5 linked regions of the Oryzias latipes genome follow. The main gene of each other region encodes a partner of the protein of the gene in region 5 in a complex. Links are inferred from orthologs where the notes say so. Each region holds a gene or a part of one and is shown on either strand. Other genes may lie near its edges. The genes, in order: flcn, lamtor1, lamtor2, fnip1 and lamtor5.

What was found.
Region 1: lamtor5 (region 5) and flcn share a complex: the UniProt entries of both Homo sapiens proteins name them as parts of the lysosomal folliculin complex. The link is inferred for Oryzias latipes from reciprocal best matches to the Homo sapiens genes LAMTOR5 and FLCN.
Region 2: lamtor5 (region 5) and lamtor1 share a complex: the UniProt entries of both Homo sapiens proteins name them as parts of the ragulator complex. The link is inferred for Oryzias latipes from reciprocal best matches to the Homo sapiens genes LAMTOR5 and LAMTOR1.
Region 3: lamtor5 (region 5) and lamtor2 share a complex: the UniProt entries of both Homo sapiens proteins name them as parts of the ragulator complex. The link is inferred for Oryzias latipes from reciprocal best matches to the Homo sapiens genes LAMTOR5 and LAMTOR2.
Region 4: lamtor5 (region 5) and fnip1 share a complex: the UniProt entries of both Homo sapiens proteins name them as parts of the lysosomal folliculin complex. The link is inferred for Oryzias latipes from reciprocal best matches to the Homo sapiens genes LAMTOR5 and FNIP1.

Annotation. Positions count from the first base shown.
Region 1 is NC_019874.2:19,456,023-19,459,730, reverse strand, and holds the end of flcn (folliculin), read left to right. Parts: intron 1-1,095; coding exon 1,096-1,219; intron 1,220-1,337; coding exon 1,338-1,463; intron 1,464-1,984; coding exon 1,985-2,087; intron 2,088-2,182; coding exon 2,183-2,390; 3' UTR 2,391-2,788; downstream 2,789-3,708. UniProt on the Homo sapiens protein: Multi-functional protein, involved in both the cellular response to amino acid availability and in the regulation of glycolysis.
Region 2 is NC_019871.2:21,798,062-21,802,995, reverse strand, and holds the start of lamtor1 (ragulator complex protein LAMTOR1), read left to right. Parts: upstream 1-1,759; 5' UTR 1,760-2,045; coding exon 2,046-2,087; intron 2,088-3,224; coding exon 3,225-3,370; intron 3,371-3,465; coding exon 3,466-3,543; intron 3,544-3,975; coding exon 3,976-4,099; intron 4,100-4,830; coding exon 4,831-4,923; 3' UTR 4,924-4,934. UniProt on the Homo sapiens protein: Key component of the Ragulator complex, a multiprotein complex involved in amino acid sensing and activation of mTORC1, a signaling complex promoting cell growth in response to growth factors, energy levels, and amino acids.
Region 3 is NC_019874.2:28,619,943-28,624,954, reverse strand, and holds the start of lamtor2 (ragulator complex protein LAMTOR2), read left to right. Parts: upstream 1-1,836; 5' UTR 1,837-1,982; coding exon 1,983-2,050; intron 2,051-2,666; coding exon 2,667-2,829; intron 2,830-3,779; coding exon 3,780-3,869; intron 3,870-5,012. UniProt on the Homo sapiens protein: As part of the Ragulator complex it is involved in amino acid sensing and activation of mTORC1, a signaling complex promoting cell growth in response to growth factors, energy levels, and amino acids.
Region 4 is NC_019872.2:4,918,097-4,923,071, reverse strand, and holds the start of fnip1 (folliculin-interacting protein 1), read left to right. Parts: upstream 1-1,934; 5' UTR 1,935-2,049; coding exon 2,050-2,141; intron 2,142-4,975. Other genes in the region: uncharacterized protein LOC101165494, read left to right, coding at 47-86, 222-247, 385-416, 513-905. UniProt on the Homo sapiens protein: Binding partner of the GTPase-activating protein FLCN: involved in the cellular response to amino acid availability by regulating the non-canonical mTORC1 signaling cascade controlling the MiT/TFE factors TFEB and TFE3.
Region 5 is NC_019865.2:10,896,688-10,901,640, forward strand, and holds the start of lamtor5 (ragulator complex protein LAMTOR5), read right to left. Parts: upstream 3,504-4,953; 5' UTR 3,365-3,503; coding exon 3,330-3,364; intron 3,241-3,329; coding exon 3,179-3,240; intron 1,386-3,178; coding exon 1,268-1,385; intron 257-1,267; coding exon 196-256; 3' UTR 1-195. UniProt on the Homo sapiens protein: As part of the Ragulator complex it is involved in amino acid sensing and activation of mTORC1, a signaling complex promoting cell growth in response to growth factors, energy levels, and amino acids.

The sequences.
Region 1 (3,708 bases), on a different chromosome or scaffold from region 5:
ATGTTTTATTATTTATTGTATCTAGTAGTATAAAAAACAAAAACTGAATCTACATTTATTTAAAATGAAACAAATTATGAAAACGAGGAAATGGAAAATCACTCGTATTTTCCTGCACTTTAAAATAATTCCTTTTATCAACATCATTCGACCTTTTCACCAGAGCTCTGAACTTTTTTTCCTGCCTCATATTCTCTTAACATGGTAAGTTAAGTATTGCAACTCTTCAGTTCCTTTAGGGAACACGTCTGTCTAACTGCCCCATCCCAATATAGAAGCGGAAGGTTTGGCATCTCGTAGTTTTTTCTTAACAAAAAGCTTAAGAGAAAAGATGACAGGCTCATATCTGCTCAGTTTGATTCCCCTCTTAAGATCTTTATTTCCATTTTGCTATACTGTTGGATTTGTGCTCAGTGTTGAATTAGCAAGCCTTTTGTCCTGCCTGTGTTATGATGCTGTTCTTTCTTTAGTGGTAGAGAGGATGGAACAGCCAAACACCCTCCATTCGGGTACAACATGAACAGCAGTGCTTAAAAACTCACTCTGATGAAAATCATGTTTTTTGTGTTTTTAACATGTTTTTCTGGCATGTGTCTGATGTTGGAGGACAACTACAAGGAGAAATAAACTTAAAATTGCATTTCTAAGTATTTCTTTATTTAAATCGTTGTGAATCAGGAGCAGATGAACTAAATGCCGCTTGAAAAAGCTTGTATTTAAAAAAAGCTACATTGGACGGGTCACAAGCTCCATTCTGATGCATCCACTTGCAGACAGATAGATCCACGTTTGTGTCTTCATTTTCCTCATCCAAGCTACTATTTGGCTCGAAACTGTATGACTGGATAGCTGCAATATGGCTTCCCATTTTTGTTGCATCGGTAACGTTAGGTTGGGGTTGTGAGGGGCCATAAGCTAGCAGGATAACATGTAACCAGATGGGCGACGGGAAGTGGGGTGACCTTGCTACATCCCACAACTCAGAACTACTGCAATTATGACCTAGAAAACGAAACAAGTTTTTGAATTTTGGAATGCTTTTAAAATGGCATAAGACATCAAACTGATTTTAATGTCTGTCTGTGGTTCTTCTAGACGTTGCTGCCAGTCGGCTGTGTGCGCTCGGTGGCGTACAGCGATCGGTATGAGGAGGCCTACAAATGCAACTTCCTGGGTCTCAGCCCCGATGTTCCCATTCCAGCACACGTCAGCTCCTCAGGTACCACATCTCCTCGTGTCGCCGGGAAACCCCACACCCACATATTGTTCGATTTTGCTTTGGAGGAATTTTCTGGGATCTTTTTGTTTTACTCTTTTACTTTTTTACCTTCCCTAAGAGTTTTCTGTGCTGGTGGACGTGACCTCAGAGAGGAGCCATGCCACGTCTGCTGCAGGCGAAGATGACATCTCCGCTTTCAATCACTTCAGCATCAGCAGTGCCAGCACACAGCCAACAGACAGAGGTGAGTGCTCACACCGGCAATAATGCTTGCACATATGTGGTCACTGATGCGTTTTGGGAGGAAGAATTCATGTCCCAGCTGCTCTGAAAGATTCTAAATGTTCTATTCTTTTAGAAACTCTTATAAATAAATATTAATTGGGTTATATGTGTAGCTTGAAAACAGCAGAGATGGGAAATGCAGATGACTGCTGAGGCTTCCGGGCTTGTTTTGTTTTGTAATCCTATACTTTTTCACTGAAGCGCTGCTATAAATTATGAGCTTGAAGAGAAGCTTATAATGCCTGTTGTGCCCAGCAGAGAAAAAAATACAGTATGTCTTTGGTTTTATGTTTTCATTTTTTAGTGGGACTTCACCGCAGCATTTCATTAAAACAAAACACCTTTTTCGAATTACATAATAAAATAACAAGGTTTAAATTCCCGTTAGAAACTACCTATTAGGTGGTTGGCTTCATCGCTGTCCCAGCTTTAATCCAAACCTGTTCTGTAAACAGAAATGTGTTTCTTTTTTCCTCTCAGGTCCAACTTTATTAAACAAGCTGGAGGCCGCCCTGTCAAACGAGAACTTGTCTGTGGACGTCGTGTCTCACTGCCTGCTTTGTTTGAAGGAGGAGTGGATGAAGTGAGTCCTACTGAGGCAGACTTGGTGTCAGTTAAAGACAGATTTTTTCCCCCCTGCTCTTTAGTGAACCCTATTGTGAATTTTCTCTCTTTCAGTAAGGTCAAAGTGCTGTTCAAGTTCTCCAAAGTGGACGGCCGAGGGAGGGAGGACACCCAGAGGGTTCTGGCTGTTCTCGGCGCCACGGGGCCCGGCGAGGAGGAGAACGTCAGACTGCTCAAGTACTGGATGACAGGACTCAGTAAACTCTACAAGAGCCATTTAATGACAGCAGTACGAGGAGGGGAGAGGAGCCTCAGCCAGTGACAAAGAGAGGAGGAGGAGGAGCCGGTGAAGGGGCGAAAAACGGGGAGCTCAGAAAAAAAAGGAAAAGTGAAAGCAACATCTAAATGCTAAACGAAGCATGCATAAGTCTTTTCTTTGTTACTGTTCAGCACCTTTAGCTGGAATGAAAGGGAACTAGAGGACTGTGAATGAAGGAATTTGCTCATCTATTGTCTTTTTAAGGAATAAATCTATTGTGCTCACTCTGCACACATTACCATGCTGAGGAATTTTAAATAATATATAAGCATTTTTTTGTATCACAGGGAATTTCTTAATGCAAAATGTAACTTATTACTACAGCAATTTGCACTTCTGTGTAGTCATTCTGACATTTTCAGCTGAAATAAATCATCACATGGTGAGTGGGTGTAACTCCACAGCTGGCTCCATCTTGTGGTGAACCAGAGGAATACATACTGGGAAGGGGGGTGCAGAAGGAGGGGCTGTTTGTCCAGAAGCTCAATTGTTGAACTGGCCATCGGCCAGCAAGTCCCAAGTGTTGTAAGACAACACTTTTCAGTTTTTCTGCTAAACGGTTGCACAACAAGGCCTGGCTTCAGCACCACATCGGCAGGATTTTGCAGTCTTAATCTCAGGGGGGGTTCGTTTCTTCATACAACTTATTGAAGCCTGTTGATTTTCTAAAGTTTGCAGACAGCATGTGGCTTTTATTCTGTCGAGGTTTTTTTTTTTTTTTTTTAAATCTACATATATGCAAGTACTAGTGAAAAGAAACCAAATTTTTATTCCAAATTAGGAGATAAATTGGAGTTTCTAAAATTGGTTGACTATCTTTCTCTTTAGAAGGAATGTGTTGACTAATAGTCTTCATGTTTTGCTTTCTCTCTTGTGGCTGAAATCTGGACTTTATTTGCCGTGTTGAATGACTTAGAAGTCTCTAAAAACATCTGTCACATATGTAAGTTATGCATGAGCAGAGAAAAGAAACAAATCCATATTTGTCTGGTATGGTACGGGTCAAGGTTTTTCACTTTGATTACACTTAGGGGACCTATGTTGTTGGCTGCAGGGCCGCCTGGATTCTCTGGCTTCCTTTTTCCTCCTCGGCAGAGATGGCTGGACGTGAACTTTCAGAAGAACAATTTGTCTTTGGCACAGCGACTGTCTTCGTCCTTCCTGTCATTAGTTGTTAACCCCTTTCTTTGCACTTTGCTGAAATCCAAATGATGCTTGTCATAACCTGAGGGAGCAGGACAAGGTGTTAATGATGAAACGATGACAGCGGATGTCAGTTCTTGGTATCGCCATCACACCAAGCTGAGTTTTTTTTTTTTGT
Region 2 (4,934 bases), on a different chromosome or scaffold from region 5:
TGCCTGATGCCAGCTCTGATGATGAAAACAAAGATCTACTTGGATCTAGTCATATAAAAGGTGGATGCATCAGAATGAAGCGGAGCAGGTGGGAATTAAACAGGCAATATTTCGATTAGAGGTCAGCCGCCCTACTGCTGCACCATGGCCACCCCATTATAATGTTGAACTGTTCATCCGCTGTTAGGCCATCATTGAAAGGCATGTGTTTTAAATCAAATGTATTTTATTTACCGGTAGTGCCATTTGACTCTGGAATTTAATCATGCTATTCCTTAAAAGTTTTGTCTTCACTGTAAAAAACAACAACAATAAGAGCTCATAGACAAATCTATGATAAAAACAAGTCAACATTGAGATATTTATATTTAAATTGACCCATTTTCATGAACAAATCTACATTTTCCTTGTCAAAAACATAAAATTGTCACAACCATGCTTACAGCTTATGGAGTTTTTTTTAAAAACTTTTTGTTTCTGAAAAAATTTTCTGAAAATGTGTTTACTGTATATATTTCCTGTCCGCACTTATGTTTGGCTAACTATTTGTTTGTCTAACTATCTTCATTAATTATGACTGGTACATTTTTTCTTTTCTTTAATTTCTGTGAGGATTTTTATGAGTAAATGTGGATTTCCAAACATTCACTGTGAATATCTGAAATGGAGAACCTTAAATTTAACGCCCATTCATTGTCACACACCTAAATGACCACTAGAGGCTGGTTTCAGAATGAGGCAATTTCCCACTGACTCTCACATCTAAAAGTCGGACTTTAAAGCAAAATTTTATATTTCTATTGATTTATTTTTGTTCACCACAGGTGTGGAATATGTGGAGGTGTGTGTTTTTTTTTTGATTGGCAGGTAGTTGGACTTAGCAAAACTCCAACATTCTGAGCAAACTGTGGGTCTTTTTTAGTTGCAATTCGGATTCAGATTATCCCAAGCGGAGTTTTGTTATCCATTACTGTTCACTCAAAAATCCAACACTTCAGATTTCAAAAGTCAGTTATTAGATGAAACAAGAAAAAGAATACCTTTTTTCATCACTTCAGCAACAAAATAAATAATCCATCTGTCCGTCTGTCCATCCATTTTCTTTATCAGCGATATAAACGGGGCCTGTTCACCTGCTGTTGGTTCTGATAAATTATTTAACACTTAAAGGTCTTTTTTTTCAGCTCTGCTCAATTTTTTCCTTTGGCTTTTAAACAGATGACTGATTATTTTCAGCTAAAGCTCCTGAAGGTGGAATTCACCACAGATATTTATTTTTTCTTATCTTAAATAAATTTTGGAGGAAAACGAAGGTGTTAATATTTTTTATTTATTTAATAATTTTTATATATTGTAAAAATGATAGATTCAAGATTTATATGTATATTATAATACATAATTTAAAAACATTATACTATTTTTTATTACAAATATTGATGACATAATTGTTTATCAGATTTCATTAATTGCCTGGAACAAAAATAATATTATTTGTTTTAACCCTTGTGCTATCTTAGATGACCCCACCCTTACTTTGACGTGTTCTCCCTACCATGACAAAGGTGGATAAAGGTGGAAAGATTTCATGTAATTTATGGACACCAGTGAAGATCACAAATCATTGAAGAAAAAAGATTCAGCGCACTGTTTAGTCGGTCTAGATGACCCAGCTCCCAATGTTAAAATGCCTAGGATAGCACAAGGGTTAACGAAGCAAGGGGTGAGGGTTCTAATGGCACACGGCCCCGCCGAAGGGCGCCACTGTGCTTCTGCATGAAACAACCTGCATCACGTGACGAAGGCCGCAGCGGCTTCACGAGAACCGGAAGTAGAAGTTGAGTTGTTGTTGCAACACAGCTGCTGTCATGTGATAGCCTGTCTGAAAAGCTGCTGTGCTGCAGTAGCTTCCTGCTTCTTGATGTTGTTAAAGTAAAAGTCCACAGGAGAGGAATTTTATGTTTGTTGGAGACGGAGCGCGCGGCTCGTATCTGAAGGAGAACAGGGAAGCCGCGCATTGCTAGTTTGGCTCCTCAGACGCCGCCGCCATGGGTTGCTGTTACAGCAACGAGGACGAGAACACAAGTCAGGTAGTTAGCCGCTAGCTAACCACAACCCGATAACTGTACGGTGCTCGGTTCTGCCTTGTTTACCGTGGTATTTACTTTTTTTTAAAATTGATATTTAAATATAAAGAGGAAAACCTGCCCATGTAACTTCTAGTTTTGTGTCAGATATTTCTGTAACATCTAAAGCAATGTAGCTAACTCTAATGCAGGCCTAGCCCGGAGCTGATTTAGTAGCTTAAGTAAAGTAAACAAGTTGTATATCTGTTAATGTAAACATCTGGATTTCTTGTTAAAGTTTAGTGGTTTATATATACGAAATATTTACTTATCAAACAAATTCACGTCCTGCAGTTTGTTACGTAGATTATGTTCGTGCTGTTTAATCATGGGTTAGAAATCAATTGTGAGCTGTAGGCTGTACAGAATACATAACTAGACTTTTCCGTATTGTGTCTTGAAGAGTTCAGTGTCACATGATCATGCAGACTCCAAGCTATTTTAGTATAAGGAAACAAGTGTGACGTTCCTTTGTTACTGTAAATATGCCATCATAGTTGTAGTAAAATAACTGTTTAGCCCTCTATTTTTATTATTTTTGCAAAGCACATTAAACCAAACACGTAAATTGTTCTGTTAAAAGCATAGTGAAATTTAAAGTATAATTGATTTAGTTTAAACATTTCTCTATAATAAAACACACATTAGGTTTAATTAACATTATTTTTATTGATTTGTGTAAGGTCTGGTAGCATAACATGTACAAGTGGATGAAGGGTTTTTGTATTCGTATTTAAAGAATTAAAAGTTGAGATGAACTGTTTTCCGGTTAAGTGAAAAAGTTTCTTAAAATATTTAAAATGAAATGGTACTGGATAACCTAACACATGAAAAATAAATATCATAACAGACTTATTGTTCAGCACTAGCAAAGGTTGCAGAGATTTCTCTTAGTTGAAGAGTTTGTAATATGTTCACTTATTAAAAGTAAAAATGAGTAACTTGCTGCACACATGTCATCTACAGTCTTTTGTCCTGGTAAAATGGCATGCTTTCATTGTTGCAACTACTTCAGAAAACAGTTTTAAGACAGTATTTGTGACATTTTCATTCAGAAGTGTGTATAAATTGTCTGAATAGATGCTCTGCTACTTTTGCAAGGACCCTGATGAGATTAAGCCCCTTATCCCCCACCCAAACCCCATTAGCAAGCCTCCAAATGGGACAGACTGGATCAATCCTAGCGTCCCATCAGCGCGGACGGATGAGCAGGCCATTCTCACATCCATCCTGGTCAAGACAGCACAGTAAGGCACTTTTTATGTTTGGATAGGTCCAGAATGGGACTTTTGACACTATAGTCTCAAACGCAAGTAATGAAAATCTCTTTGTTGTGTTTGAGGAACATCATTGATGTCTCAGCAGCTGACTCTGTTGTTATGGAGCAGCATGAATACATGGACAAAGCCAAGCAATACAGGTATGTCTTTGAAGACTACTTATTCGTTACCAACTGAACTTTTGGCATGTGTAAGCCAATAATTTAAATTTATATTAAATTTGTAAACTGCAAGCCTCTGTATTGTAATTGGTTGAACAACTTTTATTCTGCAATATTTTGTATACATGGTTCGGATTTAGCAAAAAAAACAGTTTTATTCGTGGAATCTAAAGCAATTGAGGATGATGAGGTCTTTGTATCCTGAGGAAGTTGTGAAGGAGGTAATTTAACCACAAAATTGCTGCAGTGCTGGTGCTTCCCTATAAAAGCTGTTTAGACAAAACAGCTGTCAAGCTGTAAAAGGCAACCGCCGGTTATAGTGCAAAACTGTGCAGTCTGGTCGGACACAAGCGAGACCATTTGGGTTAATTTTTTTTGAAGCTGAACTTGTGTTTTTTTTTATGGTTCCAGTACAAAGTTGACTGCAGTGAGCACCAGCCTACCACAGAAGAAAGCACTAGCCCTCCCCTCACTCACTACCCAGCCCCACCAAGTGCTTGCAAGTGATCTGGTGTCATATTCAGATATTCAGCAGGTAACCACACTGACACGCACTTTAATCCATGTCCTTGAATCCATGTCCTGTTTGTCCTGCCTTGTTTTATGCTGTAAAACCAGGTGATTTGTTTAAAAAACAAAACAAAGACCCTATAAAAAAGTTGAGGTTTATCTTGGTTGTGTTTTGAAAATAAAAACAGAGTATTTTGAAATATTGTTGCATCAACCCATTTCTTCATCTAAACATTCAGAATTCTCCCCCTTAAAAATGTACAAATGGACAAAAAAAAGAAAACAAGTGATATTAATTACTAGACTCTCAGTTGAAATCGCATGTTACTTTCTGCTGAAGTATTAATATTAATTTTTTTTTTCATTATTATGATCAGTGCTTTATATTTTAAAATATTCTATTAGAAGTCTGTAATAGCGTTCTGATCATGCAGATTTTCAAAATCAAATGACTCAGAATCGGATTGGGGGCAAAAAAAAACCTCGTTGGGAGACGTCTCCGCTAAGTACTTCATGTGAAGAGTTGCTTTTTCTCTTTTAACTGTAAAGCTGAACGTTTGTAAGACATCTTTTAAAGAGCAAATACACAATTTTTGTTCAATTCTTCAATATTTGACTTGCTGCTTGTTGGGACTGCAAATGGACATTAGCTCTGAGAGCTATGGTCTGGGACAAAGCACCTTTTCTTTTATTAATGTTCCTGTAATTGGTTCCTGTCAAATAAATGAAACCTACAATGTTGTCCTTTTTCCGCAGGTGTCCAAGATAGCTGCTTATGCTTACAGTGCGATCTCTCAAATCAAAGTGGATGCTAAAGAGGAACTGGTGGTCCAGTTTGCCATTCCTTGATTCTGCAACTC
Region 3 (5,012 bases), on a different chromosome or scaffold from region 5:
CTTTGACGCGTGGCGTTTTTTCGCGTCGGTGTGCACACTCTCATTGGTGCCCTTTGTTTAGTCACGAGGCGTTAAATTCGCCGACGAAATTTGTCCCGGTGTGAACAGGCCTTAAGCTATGTAAACTACGCATAAACTGCAAAATTTCAAAACCGCTCAAAACCAGACTCACGCAAAGAGTCGTTGGCCGAAATCCTCTACAGATCTGTGCCCATTGACAAATGAATGAATTACGTTTATCACATATGTTTCACAAAAGACAGAACTTAAGCAAAATGTGTGACATGGCCTTAACCCTTGTGTTATCTTAGATGACCCCACCCTTACATTGACGTGTTCTCCCTGCCATGACAAAGGTGGATAAAGGTGGAAAGATTTCATGTAATCCATGGACACCAGTGAAGATCACAAATCATTGAAGAAAAAAGGTTCAGAGCACTTCTAGTGGGTCTACATGACCTAACTCTCTGTGTTAAAGTGCCTATGATAGCACAAGGGTTAATGTTCTGATAATGAAATAAAATGTATTTTCTGCCATTTTATAAAGGTGTATTAGTATTCACTCAAAGTTTTGCAAATTCATACTCTTTTTAAAATTGGTGATATTTAGCCTTTCTTGCAGCCACACTGTACATACTGATTAGATTTTTTTTGTAATTTCTTTTCTCCAAAAGACACTTTTATTCGTCATCATCATTTGTCCTTTCAGTTGCAGAGACTAGAATAGAAAAAACTGATTTTTTGACCTTTCATCTAAACTTCAGAGGTGTCAGAATGACCTCAAAGAGTTTTACTATAAATTTAAAGAGTTAACTTTTTTGTCACATATCTAGAAGGAAATGTGTTTATTTCCTTCTGCCAAAATGAGACTACATCCTCTCTGATTTTACACCACGTCTGTAGCTTTCAATGGTTGACGGTATAAACAAAACTGTAAACGGATGCACTTGTGTGACTATAATTTTACCAAAACACATATCAGAGAATACATATTAACCATGCACTCATGTACCATAGCAGTTACAGCATGGAATCAAATCAACTTTTGTTTATACAAATGATTGGTTTGTGTCTTTTTTATAAGTGTGTCCACTCAAACACAACAGATTTACCTCTTAGAACAAAATCCTCTTCTTACAGACAAAAAAAAAACAATAATATCCTCGGCCCGATCACTTTTTCTGATGTCCAAAGGGCAGGAGGGAAACGATTCTGCCAAACACTTTGCGCAAACATGTCCTCCCACCAGGAAGCCAGCAGACAATAAAAACCTCAAAGCAGACTAACCTTTACTGTAAGGAGGAGTGTCAAAAGATTTAAATAACACTTCTTTGGTTGAAGTAGAATAAAAAGTACACTTCTTTGAAGCATAAAATCTTTGAGATAAAAACTCTAAATATGACAAAGGAGATGAATCAAGGAGGTGAAGTTTTCGTCGTTCACTGAAGCAAACTATATTTCCCATGATACATTTCCAAAGAACTGGTCATATTCTAGCAGCTCTAATAGGTGTGAGTGTGAATGGGAGTGTGATTGTGGCCCTGCGACAGACTGGCAATCTGTCCAGGGTGTCCCCTGCCTTCACCCACAAGTGGCCGGGATAGGCTCCAGCAGCCCCGTGACCCAGAAATGGACAAAACGGAGGAAGATGAATGAATGGCCATATTCCAGTTCTCAAAAATGTTTACAGACTACATGGGAAAGTAATTTAAAACAAAAAGATTTGTGAAAAAATCAGGAATAATTAAAAATTTAAAAATAAAGTTTAAAGAAAAACATAATAAATATAAATAGGAAACATGTATTTGGATATAACTGCAATTCCCATGATGCATCTCTAAATGTACCGGAAAAGGAAACAGAAGAAGAATCGAGTCAGCTGACTTTGCTCTGTTATTGAGCAGTTCTCTCTTCTTTTTTAAGCCCCGTGTTTATTCAGTCAGATCATTTTTCTGGGTTTTTTCTCCTGAGAGAGGTCGGCCATGTTGCGACCCAAAGCGCTGACGCAAGTTCTCAGCCAGGCGAACACGAACGGCGTCCAGAGCACCCTGTGAGTACCGCGAGCTAGCAGGCTAACATCCAGCTAGCTAGCAGCGGTTTGTTTGCGTCTAGCTCCTTAGAACTCTTAAAGCTCCCCTGAAACGACACGTTTATATAATTATTACTTCACCAACTTAATACTACTTTTACATTTTCATTATTTATTGCAATAAATACAAATATATTTTTTCAAGATTTGTTTTCCGCTGTTAAATCAAATACAGTTTTACACGAATTTCAAGCAGTTGAATTTTGATTTCAAAATAAGAGTCTTTTTAAAATATATTTGGTTCGTTTTTATTTTTGCTTAGAAAGTCTGTTCAGGGTACAAAATATCATTATCAGGTAGAAAAAAAGCAAAAAAAATCGATTTACATTTAAAAAGTGGTGTGGGAAAATAAGTAATCTGTAATGTTTGATGTAGATCTGTTTGATATAGATCTGTTCATCGTTTTAGCCATTTTGCATCAATCGATCAATTTCTGTCCTGGAGACCTCCTGACAAAATTACTTGGTTTTCATGGTTTGAAAACGGAATGGCGTTTGTCTTAAAACTTTGTCACTGTAACTTTTCATCATTGTGTTGTTTTTGTGTGTAATGAACAACCGTCTCTCTGTGCGAGCAGCCTACTGAACAACGAAGGCTCCCTCCTGGCGTACTCCGGTTACGGCGACACAGACGCTCGAGTGACCGCTGCCATCGCCAGCAACATCTGGGCCGCCTACGACAAGAACGGCCACCAGGCCTTCAACGAGGACAAACTCAAGTTCATCCTCATGGACTGCATGGTGGGAACTTTCTCCTTGTTTTCCTTCAGCCCTTTTGTTGAAGTTAGATTCTATGAATGCCCCAACATCTCTGAAGGGGTCTGCAATTTGAGGCATCACAGCTGTTTTTTTTCCCCCTCCATTGTGACTTTAAAGAAAAAATGTGTATTATTTAAATAAAATAATGTGTTTGTAGTTTTGCTTTAGCATGCATACATGGTGGCACCTGTTCAGTCTGGTCTGTTTCAAACGGGACCAAATGGCTCTTTTAATGTTGTACAAAATATGAATAATGGGACTTGAGCAAACCTTCAGATATGGAAGGAGCTGGCTCTTGATACCAATAGCACCACAGGAAGACACCAAACACACACTCCTTGTACTCCTTGCCCATTTTTTTTTGCCCCGCTCTACAGTTTTGTAAACATTGCTCAAGTCAAACGTGTCAACGTCCTGCATCATTTTTCTCATGATACATAAATAATCTTCGCTCATGCAAACAACCAGATGATTTTCTTATTTCTAACTTCCAGCTCTGAGGCAAAATGTTTAACTTAATTCCCGAAAATCAGCGAATCCACACAGTAAAACCCCCACTCTGCCTTAGGAGGAGGGGCTTTGTGGAGAGTCTTGCTCTGTAGATGGAGGGGAAACCTGCTGCATTTGGTCGCATAAAAAAAGCTGAGATCCATTCTTTCAAACCTGTGATTCAGTTCGATTTGCGCCTCATCGCCCCTTATTCAGTAATAATTCATGTCTGCACATTAGCTGAGAGCTGCTGAACTGAGTGAAGGTCAGGCTTACATAAATACTGTCGTAAATCTGAGCATCGCAAACTAACAGCAAAGCAGTGTTCTGTGAGAAATCCATCTGACTTAGTGGATTTATGATTGGAAGTTACAACCTGTAAAGAAAAGTGACTTTTAGTCTTTGGACTCGACCAATAAAAAGGCTTTTTTTTTTTTTCTCAGGAAGGGAGAGTGGCCATAACGCATGTGGCTAACCTGCTGCTTTGCATGTACGCCAAAGAGACGGTGGGCTTCGGGATGCTGAAAGCAAAGGTGAGGGCGCTGCTTCCTCACATGGGTCTTCATCAGCTGTGGTTCCTCAACGAGTCCCGATTCCTGACCCCACAAGTTCAGTTCAACCAAGGACATTTATTCACTCGTTTATTCATTCACTCTCCTCTATGTAGTTTAGTGGAAGTGAAGCATATTTCAGATCAAATTCCGATTCCAAGTTATTGGATTTGGAGTTGCTGCCGATACCGAGTTCCGATCTGTTACTGTCGTAGCACATCCAAAAAAAAATGACAAACTTAATAAACAGATCAACATTTTCCAAATTTTTAAAATTTTATTAAGCTTCTTTTAGCATTTTACACGTAAACAGAGCACTTCTGGGAAGTATCTTCAACAATCAAGGAAAAGTAATGCAATTATCAAATAGAAAAAATAGTTAACTATAAACTAGTACAAACTTGTTAATAGTTAACTAGTCAAAATAGGTTAATTAGCCCTATGAGAAAGTTTGGTGACTGTAGCCTTAACATCTTCAGAACTGTTGAACATTTTTGATCAGATGTGATTCATTTCCCTGTTATAATATCAAATAATCAATTTCCAAATTCATCGTTGTAGCATAATTATGATGAGTATTTGTGACTTTCAACAGAACCATTGACTAATCGTTAGTATTTTTATTATTATTATTATTATTATTATTATTATTATGTATTTATTTATCTTGGTCTATTTTTCCCAGAACTTGCACTTTGTAGGCGGTCCCTTATCAGCCCACCATCAGTTTCATTCTCTTGAAAAGAATGAAAAAAAGAGCAATTTTTATTTATTTACTATTTACAGTCTTTGTAAGTCGTTGGTAAGTTAAGATGAGCCAATATAGACACTTGCTGTCAGTATAAAATGTTTGATATACCGTACTTATTGTGTCAGGAAGTCTGAATCTGTGAACAACTGGTTAACTTTCCCGAACTGTGTTTGTGCGCCTCCTGGTGGCGTATTCCTGCTCCGCTTTACGACAATAAAACGTCCTGATCCATTCAGGAAGTGCCGACTTCTAGTAGAGTATTTATCTGTAATGTTAAAAATATATATATAACGGTAATTTCATTTTGATTTGACTTATTGGTTTATTTCAAGCCTTAATTGAATTAATAATAATAATAGATTGGATTTATCTGT
Region 4 (4,975 bases), on a different chromosome or scaffold from region 5:
TTTTTTTCAACTTGAATTCAATAATTACAATAGTTTTTGTGTTTAGATGTATCCACACACGTTGCTGAAAAGAACAGTGAGAGCAGGTGAGTGGATATATTAATACTGCATTAAAAAATTTATGAAATGATTTTAAATGTTGTTTCAGTGCTGACATCTTTGGAAAGAAAGCTGTTGTGCAATTAATATTTAATCAACCAGTCTTTTCCCCCCCTACAAAGCTACCAGAAGGAAACTCACACTGAAAGTAAGATACAAATTGATTCATTTAATTTAGGAAATATTTTTAAGCTACATGATTTATAAGTTTCTCTGTTTTTATAGTATTAAATCCATTTTTATAACCAAATTATACCTATGTTTTTTTGTAATCTGCATCTACAGATAAATCTCAGGAGATGAAACCTGCACAAGATGTAAGAAAAATATGTGTTACTTCATCATTTTAAATGTTTTTTGTTAATCAACTGTGTTTTTTCAGTAGCAGTTGAATAATTGTGTTTTTGCCCTAGTTTGTTGGGAGAAGGCCCATAGTGTGCAGAAAAAGGGTATCATTCAAAAGCCCGGTCATTTCTGAGCCTCTGAAAGAAAAACATGCTCCATCACCTTCAGGCATAAATGACACCATCCGGAAACTATCCCGAGTTTCTGAGCGGACGAAACCAGATGCACAGACGCCCAAAATGGATGAAATCAGCTCTAAAAAAGAAATAACGGTGACCCCAAAAAGGCCTGTTGAGACTGAGAAAACCATGTTCTTTGACTTTACCAGCAACGCTGACATGGATGCTCTCTTTCAGAACATGAGAGATAGAAGTGCAAAACTTAGGTGCTCATTTTATTTTCCTTTTACTGTAGGCACCCAAAGCCCTCTGCGTAATAAAAGCAGATCTGAGTTAACCTGAAGTTAACTCTGATACTACAGTGTACAGTTGCACAACATAGTTTTTGCCTAAATGACAATATAAAAACATGATTGGAACGAACATGCTCTCTGTGAGAAATGACTCTGACTTTAGAAGACATGGATAAATTAATAAAACAAATACAATGGCAAATAAAGAGAACTAGCTCATAAATTAGTTTGATATAAAACATGAATGCCTTCAAAACAGTAAATGTTTGTATTTTCTTTTTCAGTATAGGACATCAAGAAAATAAACATACTAATAAGAGTTTTTAAACCTTATAAAACTATACAAGATGTGGGTATATTTTAATATGTAATGTGTGTTTCTATAGCTTTGTTTCTTCTGTAACCTCTTTTAATGTATCTGCATATTATATAAAGCAAAAACAATGTTAGAGCCTGTATTTTTAATGTTTGCATGTAATCCAAATGTGTTGTGAATGTTGAACACTAGGTGGCGCATCTGTATCAGTTTTCTTGTCCTCTTTAAAAAATAAAAATAAATATAACACGTGTTAAACGTATGCCAACGTTTTTATTTTAATATTCAAAATTCTATAAATGTTTTTTCAATAATCCTTTGAATATCAGGTTGTTACATTTTTGAAAGGTGTCTTTTTGATAAAAATGAGAATGCGCAAATTAGTCAAAATAGTAAAACCTTCATCTTTTGTATAATTTACAACTGTGAAATAAAAACTATTTAAAATTAAATTACGTTCTGTAAACATTAATATATATGTCAATGTATTCCACTGTATACGTACAATTTAGGATTTTTTTGTTTTGTTTTTAAAAGGATATTTGTGAAATAAGTGTTAAATTTATAGCATGTTTCTGTCCGAAGTTCAACCGGTGTAAAAGACTAAATTTAGTGACGTAACGATTCTAGACAAAACATCAACACGGAAAAGTCTGTGGTCACGTGGTTCCAGTCCAAAAATATAAGCCAATCGCGTAGTTTGTAGTAGCAGCCGTATCTGGTTAGCCAATCAGGAAAATGTAGATGGTTACCAAGGTGCTCCTGTGACTAATGCCTGTCATATGACTGACACCCATGGAGACAGTTACAAGGAACAAAATTTGCTTGTGGATTTGAAAAGAACGGGTATCCGTGCCGAATTCGTTGTGGGAACAAAATGCCTCCAACTCTTTTCCACAAACTTTTCAACAAGAAGAATGCATTTTCATCGCCACCACCTAGATGCAGCAAAGAAGACGTCGCTTTCAGGTAGCTGTCCTGTGTGTGTTTGTTCGGGGTTTGTGTGTGTAATGTTGTGTGCGCTATTTATTTATTTATTAAATTCACTGTATTGTTTGGTAAGAAAGTATAACTTCGGGTGGTAAATGTTTAGGAAGTGTGGCTTCTAAATAGCCCCTGTGCACCTCTTTGTATACAAGTAAAGTAAAGTACGTGGGATACGTGTTGTGACTGTTGTTGCGGGAAGCTAGCATGCTAATGCTAACAACTAGCCGAGCTGCAGGACACGCTTTCTTGGTGCGACTTGGCTCAATATCGATCTCATCCCAAACATTTAAACCAATATTGTTCCGTGTATGACGTGATTTTGTAGCTAAAACAAACTCTGAGCTTTTAGCGAGTCTGTGTTTGTTGCTTATAGAAGTTATAAGGGAGCAGTGTGCCGCTCTTTTTCCTTTGTTTCTCCTCGTGCCTCCCTTTCTGTGTCTTTGGCAGTAATTGAGCGCGTGCAGGGCAGCGCAGACCCTCTCCCGTGTTGCTCATCTTTGCTGAACGTGGAGCAAAGTACACAGATGATATTGTATTCCGCCGTTTCGGTCTGATAGAGGGAGGACACAGTGTGCTCTGTCGGATGACATGTGAAAGCTTCCGTGGCCCGTTTGGAGATGCAGAATTGACGGTCCGGATCTGCTTCTGAACCAACAGTTCTCACATGGGATGCCTTTGCGAATATATGATGGCACTTTGAAATAAACGGACAAAATGACCTCTTTTACATATAAATGCACAATAAAACAGCAAAACTTGTAACAATTTCATTGTATTTATTTATTTTTAGAAATTGAGACACAAAGAACTCCACCAGAATTGTCTGGGTTAAAAGTGACTATTGCTTTACACCAATAAAAACATGTTTTTCATGCAAAAGCAACTTTATTATATGCAAATATTTTGATATTTTATTGCATCTCCACTTTTATTACTCTTAAATCGCTAGTTATATGAAAAAGGGTTGTGGAACTGTACATTTAAAAATTAAAGAAAAAATGCTGGAGCATCACCTCAGAAATGTATTTTGCTTGTATACAAATCTTTAAAAAAAATATTCTCATGTTGCAGTGCTTTGTTTTGTTTTCCCTAACCAGTAATGATCCATATTTGGTCAGAAAAAGAAAATAAATGCCTTTTCACCTTTTTTTCCCCCATATCAGATTATTTTGTTTTATTTCTGCTGATGTTAACTACCTTTTAATAATTTAATTTATCTTTTTAATGATGTATTTTATATTCCTATTATCAGATACTGCAAAAGCAGTGTCTATTGAGGCAAAATCTAGTATGTTTTACAACTATCTATTAGTAAAAATAAAGTAATCAAAAATTGCTTTCCACTGCATTCGTGCATAAACAGATTGCAAAATAAATGTTCATATATTTTTAATACTGCTTTCAAAAAAGTATTTCAAAATATATTTTTGAATTAGGATTATGAACTAAATGTATTTGGACTAAAGTGATGTCTGTACTATAGTTTGCTAAAGTTATGTCATGTTTGAGTTGATTAGAACTAAAAGTTGACTTTTACTTTATTACTGTCGCTGTATTTGATAAAATACTACACCGAAATTATTTTTCTAGGATAGTCTAGGATAGTCTAGCACACCTTCTAGATGAGAGTAATGTATGCTTTGAATGGGGAATCTTTGAATTTCTACGTTTTTACTGGGCAATGTCGCATGTTGTCCTTTAACTGTGAATTATTTGTGGTCATGAAAGCTCATCTTCTTGTTAGGCTGCTGGCACTTTACCCAGCATGGGCTATAGCACATCTGATGGCCAGAAAGGTGATTTAAAAAAAAGTGACGCATGTGTAAATGTGTAATTAGGCTTAGTAGTTGGTGTTGGTTGGCATCAGTCTAGAGCAAACAGACAGCAGGCGGTTCTGTTAACTCTGTGGTCAGCTGTGCTCTTCATACCTCTGGCTAAAGCTTCCCCCATTCATCAACCATGAAATGGCTCTGAAGGGGAGAAATCTGTCTATAGACAGTAGGGAAAGGACACTTGGGTGCTAATATTTATGACTAGTGTAGTTTTACATACAAGGGATACTGAATGAATGTTTTCCGAGTTAAAGAAAATACATTTTTTTAAAGTATCTTTCATTAGAATGTGTATGAGGAACAGCTGGACTGGAGAAAGTTTCAGGTTAATTCAGTCACCAGTGAGAAATCTGTTTTAAATGCTGTTATAAGTAGCCTGGGTTAGTTATTATTAGTTATTTGGAGGTTCCTGGCACTTTGTCCTAGAAACTCCAAACCTGAATCCTAAGTCTGACTGAATAAAGGAACTAGAACATCTAATACAATCACACAAATAAGTTTGACTGAACTTAGTCTTTGTTCACATCTTGCTGCCCTACATTAAGCGTCAACAACCAAAAACATAATCGGACCGCATCATTGTGGCTTTCAAAATACCACAGAGGGTAGAGGGTTGGCTCACCCTGCAGTAAAGCCTAAAAGCCTCTCTTGTTTCCATAGCTGCAACTCCTGAGCCATGGAAAGCGTACTGTACGATACGCCGAGAGTTTCTGGCTCATCTGCAGCCGGTCTCCAGTGCCGCGACTCAGATTGCTTGTCACGGGAGCCTGCTGAGGAAACCCTCCCTCTTGACCTGTGTCATGCAGCTCCTTAAAAATAAGCTTGTGCTGAAATGTGTGGAGTCTGTAGAAGCAATACACAGGAATTAATAATAATAAAAAAACTTTTTACATTTATGTTATGTTTAAGGAAAAAACTTTTTTTTATTTTTAGATGTTCAAAAATTACGCAGAACTTTATTATTATTATTTTTTTGGAGATTTA
Region 5 (4,953 bases):
AATTTCAGGGAAATCCCCACAAAACGTGCACATCATATCAATGCAACTCCATTACAACTGTTTTAAATAGAAAACCACAATACTTAGAAAATAGTTTTTCTTTTTCCTGTTTTTGCCAAGATGCTGCAGAATTTTATTATGAATTCAAGTGAGCATCTCATCTTTACAATAAAACTCCAGGAAGTCCCGTTGTCTTCACGATGTAATTTTGTGGACGGCTATTGTGATTGTCCCGTGACTTCTCACCAGAATGTTTCTGCAAAAAGCAAATCAGAAATTAAACAATGCATTGGGGCAAATGTTCAGCAAAGTGAAGAAATCATTCTAGGTGATTGTAAATGATCAGTCAGACATAACATGCCAAGATTTTGGGTTGGCAAATGTTAATCAAATTTGCATCAGTCACACATTCACCTGTCCATATAACATCAGTCTACACGTGTGGAAGCAGCAGAAGAGCCACATTTCATTAATCATTTCTGAGCTCATCACATATAAAAATGTAAACATTTTTCCTTTGGCTTAGATAGAAAAAAGAGATTTTAGACACTATATTCATTTTTTTTTTATTTGAGTATAAATTGAGTTGGTAATTTCATAACTATATAGTTGTTGTTTTTGTTTGTTTGTTTGTTTGTTGTTCAGCTTCATTAGAAGTTTTTTTTTTTTGGTGTTGTGCTACTTAGACAACAGGATTGAATTCTATTTACTTGTGTTTTTGGTAAATTTCTAATTCCAAATGACAAAGTCCATTTCAGAGGTGGGAATTCCACTACATTCAATAGTTTAAAAGAGTCCAGAAGGTGGCAGCATAGTCCAAAAAAATAAATACTCAAATCCAGGTCTGCCTATATGATTATCCATGAGTCTAACCCTCACAACCACTTAATCCTGGATAATATGGTTTGTTTTGTATCTCACTGTTAAGCCACTTTGAATTAAATCATCCATTAAATGACTTAAATGTACAGTATTGAGGAGGTGGGGAAATTATTATATTCCAACATCCGGAAGTTCCAAAAGTCATGAATAGTATAGAGGAGCCAATACTCAGAAAAATAATTAGGCATGGTCTCCCACGTGACCAGCAGGTATAGAGGATGCTCATCTCTGCTGCACCTCTGTGGCACAGAAGTTGAAGCTGATTGCACAGCGTCTTGGAACTCTTATTTGTACACTTCCACATTTAAAACTACAAAGGCACACCTTAAATGCACTAAAACTAAGAAATAGAAGAAGTTGTGCAAAGGCACAGTCCATGGCTCACCCTGACTCGGACTCTAGGCACACAGTCGGTGTGTCCGTCAGGTCTCTGGTGAGAGCAGCTGCTTGTTTAGCCAGAACAGACACCACACCTCCATGTTCATCTGACAGAGATCCACGACCTAAAAAAAAAATATGTCAAAGACCCGCTCTGATGAAAATTGTGTTTTAAACATGTTCTTTTGGCATTTTTCTGATGATGGAGAACATATTCAAAAATGCATTTTTCAGGATTTGTTTATTCAAATCGTTGTGAATCAGCAGAATCCAGACTAGATCCATGGACGTCTTTGTTTTTCTCATCCGAGCAGTTATCGGGTTAAAAACTCTAGGACTGTATAGCTCTGATACTGCTCGCTATTTTTGATGTACCGCTAATGTTAGGCTTGGGGTCTGAAGGGCTGAAAGCTAGCAGGAGAGCATGTAAACAGTAAACAGATGAGTGACGACAAGTGGGCTTACTTCACGCCGACAGTCCTGCTCACAACTCAAGAGGTGAATTTTTAAAAAAACTAGTGCTGCTCTGCAGAAACTTTGTTCTGGAAAATGACTATTTTTTTTGGGTCAAAAACAGCTTCATCATAAATAAAAGACTAGGAATGCTTTTGAAATAGATCAAAAGATGATCAGAGTGGGACTTTAAATGATGACCTGCTTTAGATGCATCCTTCTGCTCATCAGATCAGTTCATTTGGACTGCAGTCTTTATTTAGAATTTAACTTTTTTCTTAAAGTAAATCTGATTTCACGTTTTTACAATGTCAGAGCACCAACAGTGTGATAATTTAACATGTAGCTTTAACATCTGGCAGCAAAGGTGTAATAACCAGCAGCAGATCAGACCACCACAGTGAGCCAGAATTCTTTGCTATGTTTGCTGGTCTGAACTGTTACTATCATATAATAGATCAAATCAGTTTGCCTCAAGAGGAAATTGTTACTTATTCAGTTGAAGACCCATTTTTAAATTATTCCGACTCAGGTCTTCAACACGGAAAACAGTCGATCAGTCATGAGAGCCAGGCATGTCCAAAGTCCGGCTTGTGGGCCAAATCCGGCCCCCTTTCAAATTTTCACCGGCCCGTAGGCTCCTACATAAAATCAACAGAACGCGTCCTGCAACAATATCTAAAAGCTGTGTGGTTGGCTAAATCAGACTTTATAAACCTGTGGAAACACTGTTGTGCGACCCTTTTGTGACACTCTCTAGCTCTTTAAGGGTCAACCTCTTAAAGGACAAATGGAAAATTTGAACATTTTTTCAGTGAAATATAAAACAACTGTGTCTGCCTAATGGGCCAGAAGACTGTGGCTGTTTTCATGGAGTTCAATATCAAGAGAAACTACCAGATAAGACATGCTAATACGACAAGCTAACTGTGAATGAACTGTGCAAAAAATATACAAATGTGACAGTAATTTTGGTAAAAACGTAGTTAGATGTCTGTTTTCTATGTGAAGACTGTCATGTAATCATGAAATGTCATGAAAAGTATCCCATTGCAGTATATTTAATTTAATGTGTTTCAAATAGTTCTAAGATTCACTGCAAATATGGGCCTCTTTGGAAAAAGTAACACATCCCGTTATGTAAGCAAAGGATGTCTTTAGGAGACAGATGTCTACACATGATCTGCACTGACCTAAACACTATGGGTCTTCTTTCTGAGTTACATCTTTGCCTCTCTCACTCACTGGCAACATTTCTCTAATGAGATTAAAGACTAAAACATCAGAAATAACAACATGATCTCTCATAAACAGCTGGCGGTGGAAACTTGTGTTTTTGGGGAAACTAAACTGTTGCGGGAATTTATTTATTAGCGAAACTGACGAACTAGAGAATATCGACTACGGGGTACTTCGTGAATAAATACATGTGATGTGACTTCCTGTTAACTCTGAAGAGTCTTACAGCCCAAGTTGTGTCCTTGTTGGTCCGTGCATAGAACCCCAACAACAGCTGGATTTTTCATGCTGCAGAAAAAACACGAAATCAAGAGAATTAGCCAAACGAATGTACGAAATGTAAAGAAACAAGCTAGTTAGCATAGATTAGAACTCACGTATCGTCAAGGTGTTGTTCGAGGGTTGACTCCATCTTTAGAAAACCGTAAAAAAATCAGAAAATGTAAAGTTCTATGGCCCAAAAATTGTATTTTTTGTTGTTGACGTTTGTTTCCTTAAATTCCTCCTGACAATCATGTGACTGTGACGTACAGTAAGAGACATCGCCAGGGTCAAACAAGACGAAGCGCGAACGGCTGAGCCAACTCAAAACTACAAAACAACCAACTAAAGACAGACTGATAACTGTATCTTTTAGTACAAATTAAAAATAATTGGTTTTCAGTAGAATAGAATAGAATAGAATAGAATAGAATAGAATAGAATAGAATTGACGGCTTAATTCAAATAAATGATTTTTGGTGTATTTTTTAATTCTTGTGACATTTTTCTGATGATGCAGGACACATAAAAAAAATAAGATTAAAATTGCATTTCTGAGTATTTCTTTATTCAAATCGTTGTGAATCAGTAGCATGTGCAAAAATGCCATTTGAAATATCCTGCAGATCTGACGTAGAAGCTACTACAAGCTACTACAACCAGCAGCATTTTCCATTATGATGGATTGGCTTGTAGATGACTAGATCCTTGTACATCTTTGTTTTCTTTGCCAGAGCTGACATCTGGATCAAAACGGTATGGCTGCATAGCTCCAATATTGCTAGCCATTTTTGTTGCATAATTTTAGGTTGGGGGCTGTGAGGGGCTGTAAACTGATGATAGGAAGCAGGGATTGGCTTAGTCCTCGCCAACAGTCCCGCCCACAACTCAGAGATGAATTTCTAATGAACTACTGCCACGCTGCAGAAACTATGTATGTCCCTGAAAACGACAAAGGTTTTTTGATTTAGCCTAAAAGCGGCATAGTTATAATTAAAAGACTACCGGTACTGGAAACACTGAAAATAGATCGAATGATTATTGGAGTGGGACTTAAACTGTTTATCTTACTGCAGTGCAGTGGCGGTTTTTGATATGGTCGATGTGGGCGGTCGCCCAGGGCGGCACTTCATAGGGGGCGGCATTTGCCGTTCCTGAGGCGTTACACATAATATGCTACATACTAAATTCAAAGAGGAAGCTTGGAGCTTTTAATTTGAAATTGCTTGAGCAGCCGACACTTAATGCTTTTATTTAGACACATCAGACTCTAAAGAATGTCTTCCTCCTATTTGCTCTTCACACTTATGGTGCAAAAAAAAAAAAAAAAAAAAAAAAAAAAAGAATACCTCAGAGTGAAACAACGTAAAACCGGCACATGAAAATGAATTAGGCAGAACAAACATCCGTGCTCAACCCAATTTCGAAAAAAGCAGGCAATGGAGATTATTTCCCACAATTCTTTGCTCCGACACAGCAGACCCGATGCGCACGTGACCACCGCCCTCTGCTGCAAGACGATTGCGGCCACACCTCTTTGTAGTCTTTGGAACATAAGTCAAAAAACTCGAGAGGGGAGCGCAGCTCGCCGGTGGCTGGCTGAATCACACTAACAGGTGATTGGGGGTCTTTTTCTATCTGACAATCAACTCTGAGCCGCAGCTGCGCGCTGTCGTCATGGAGACGGAGCCGCGTGTGTCAGAGGGAAGGGGAGGGGGAGGGGGGATTAGATCAGACCAT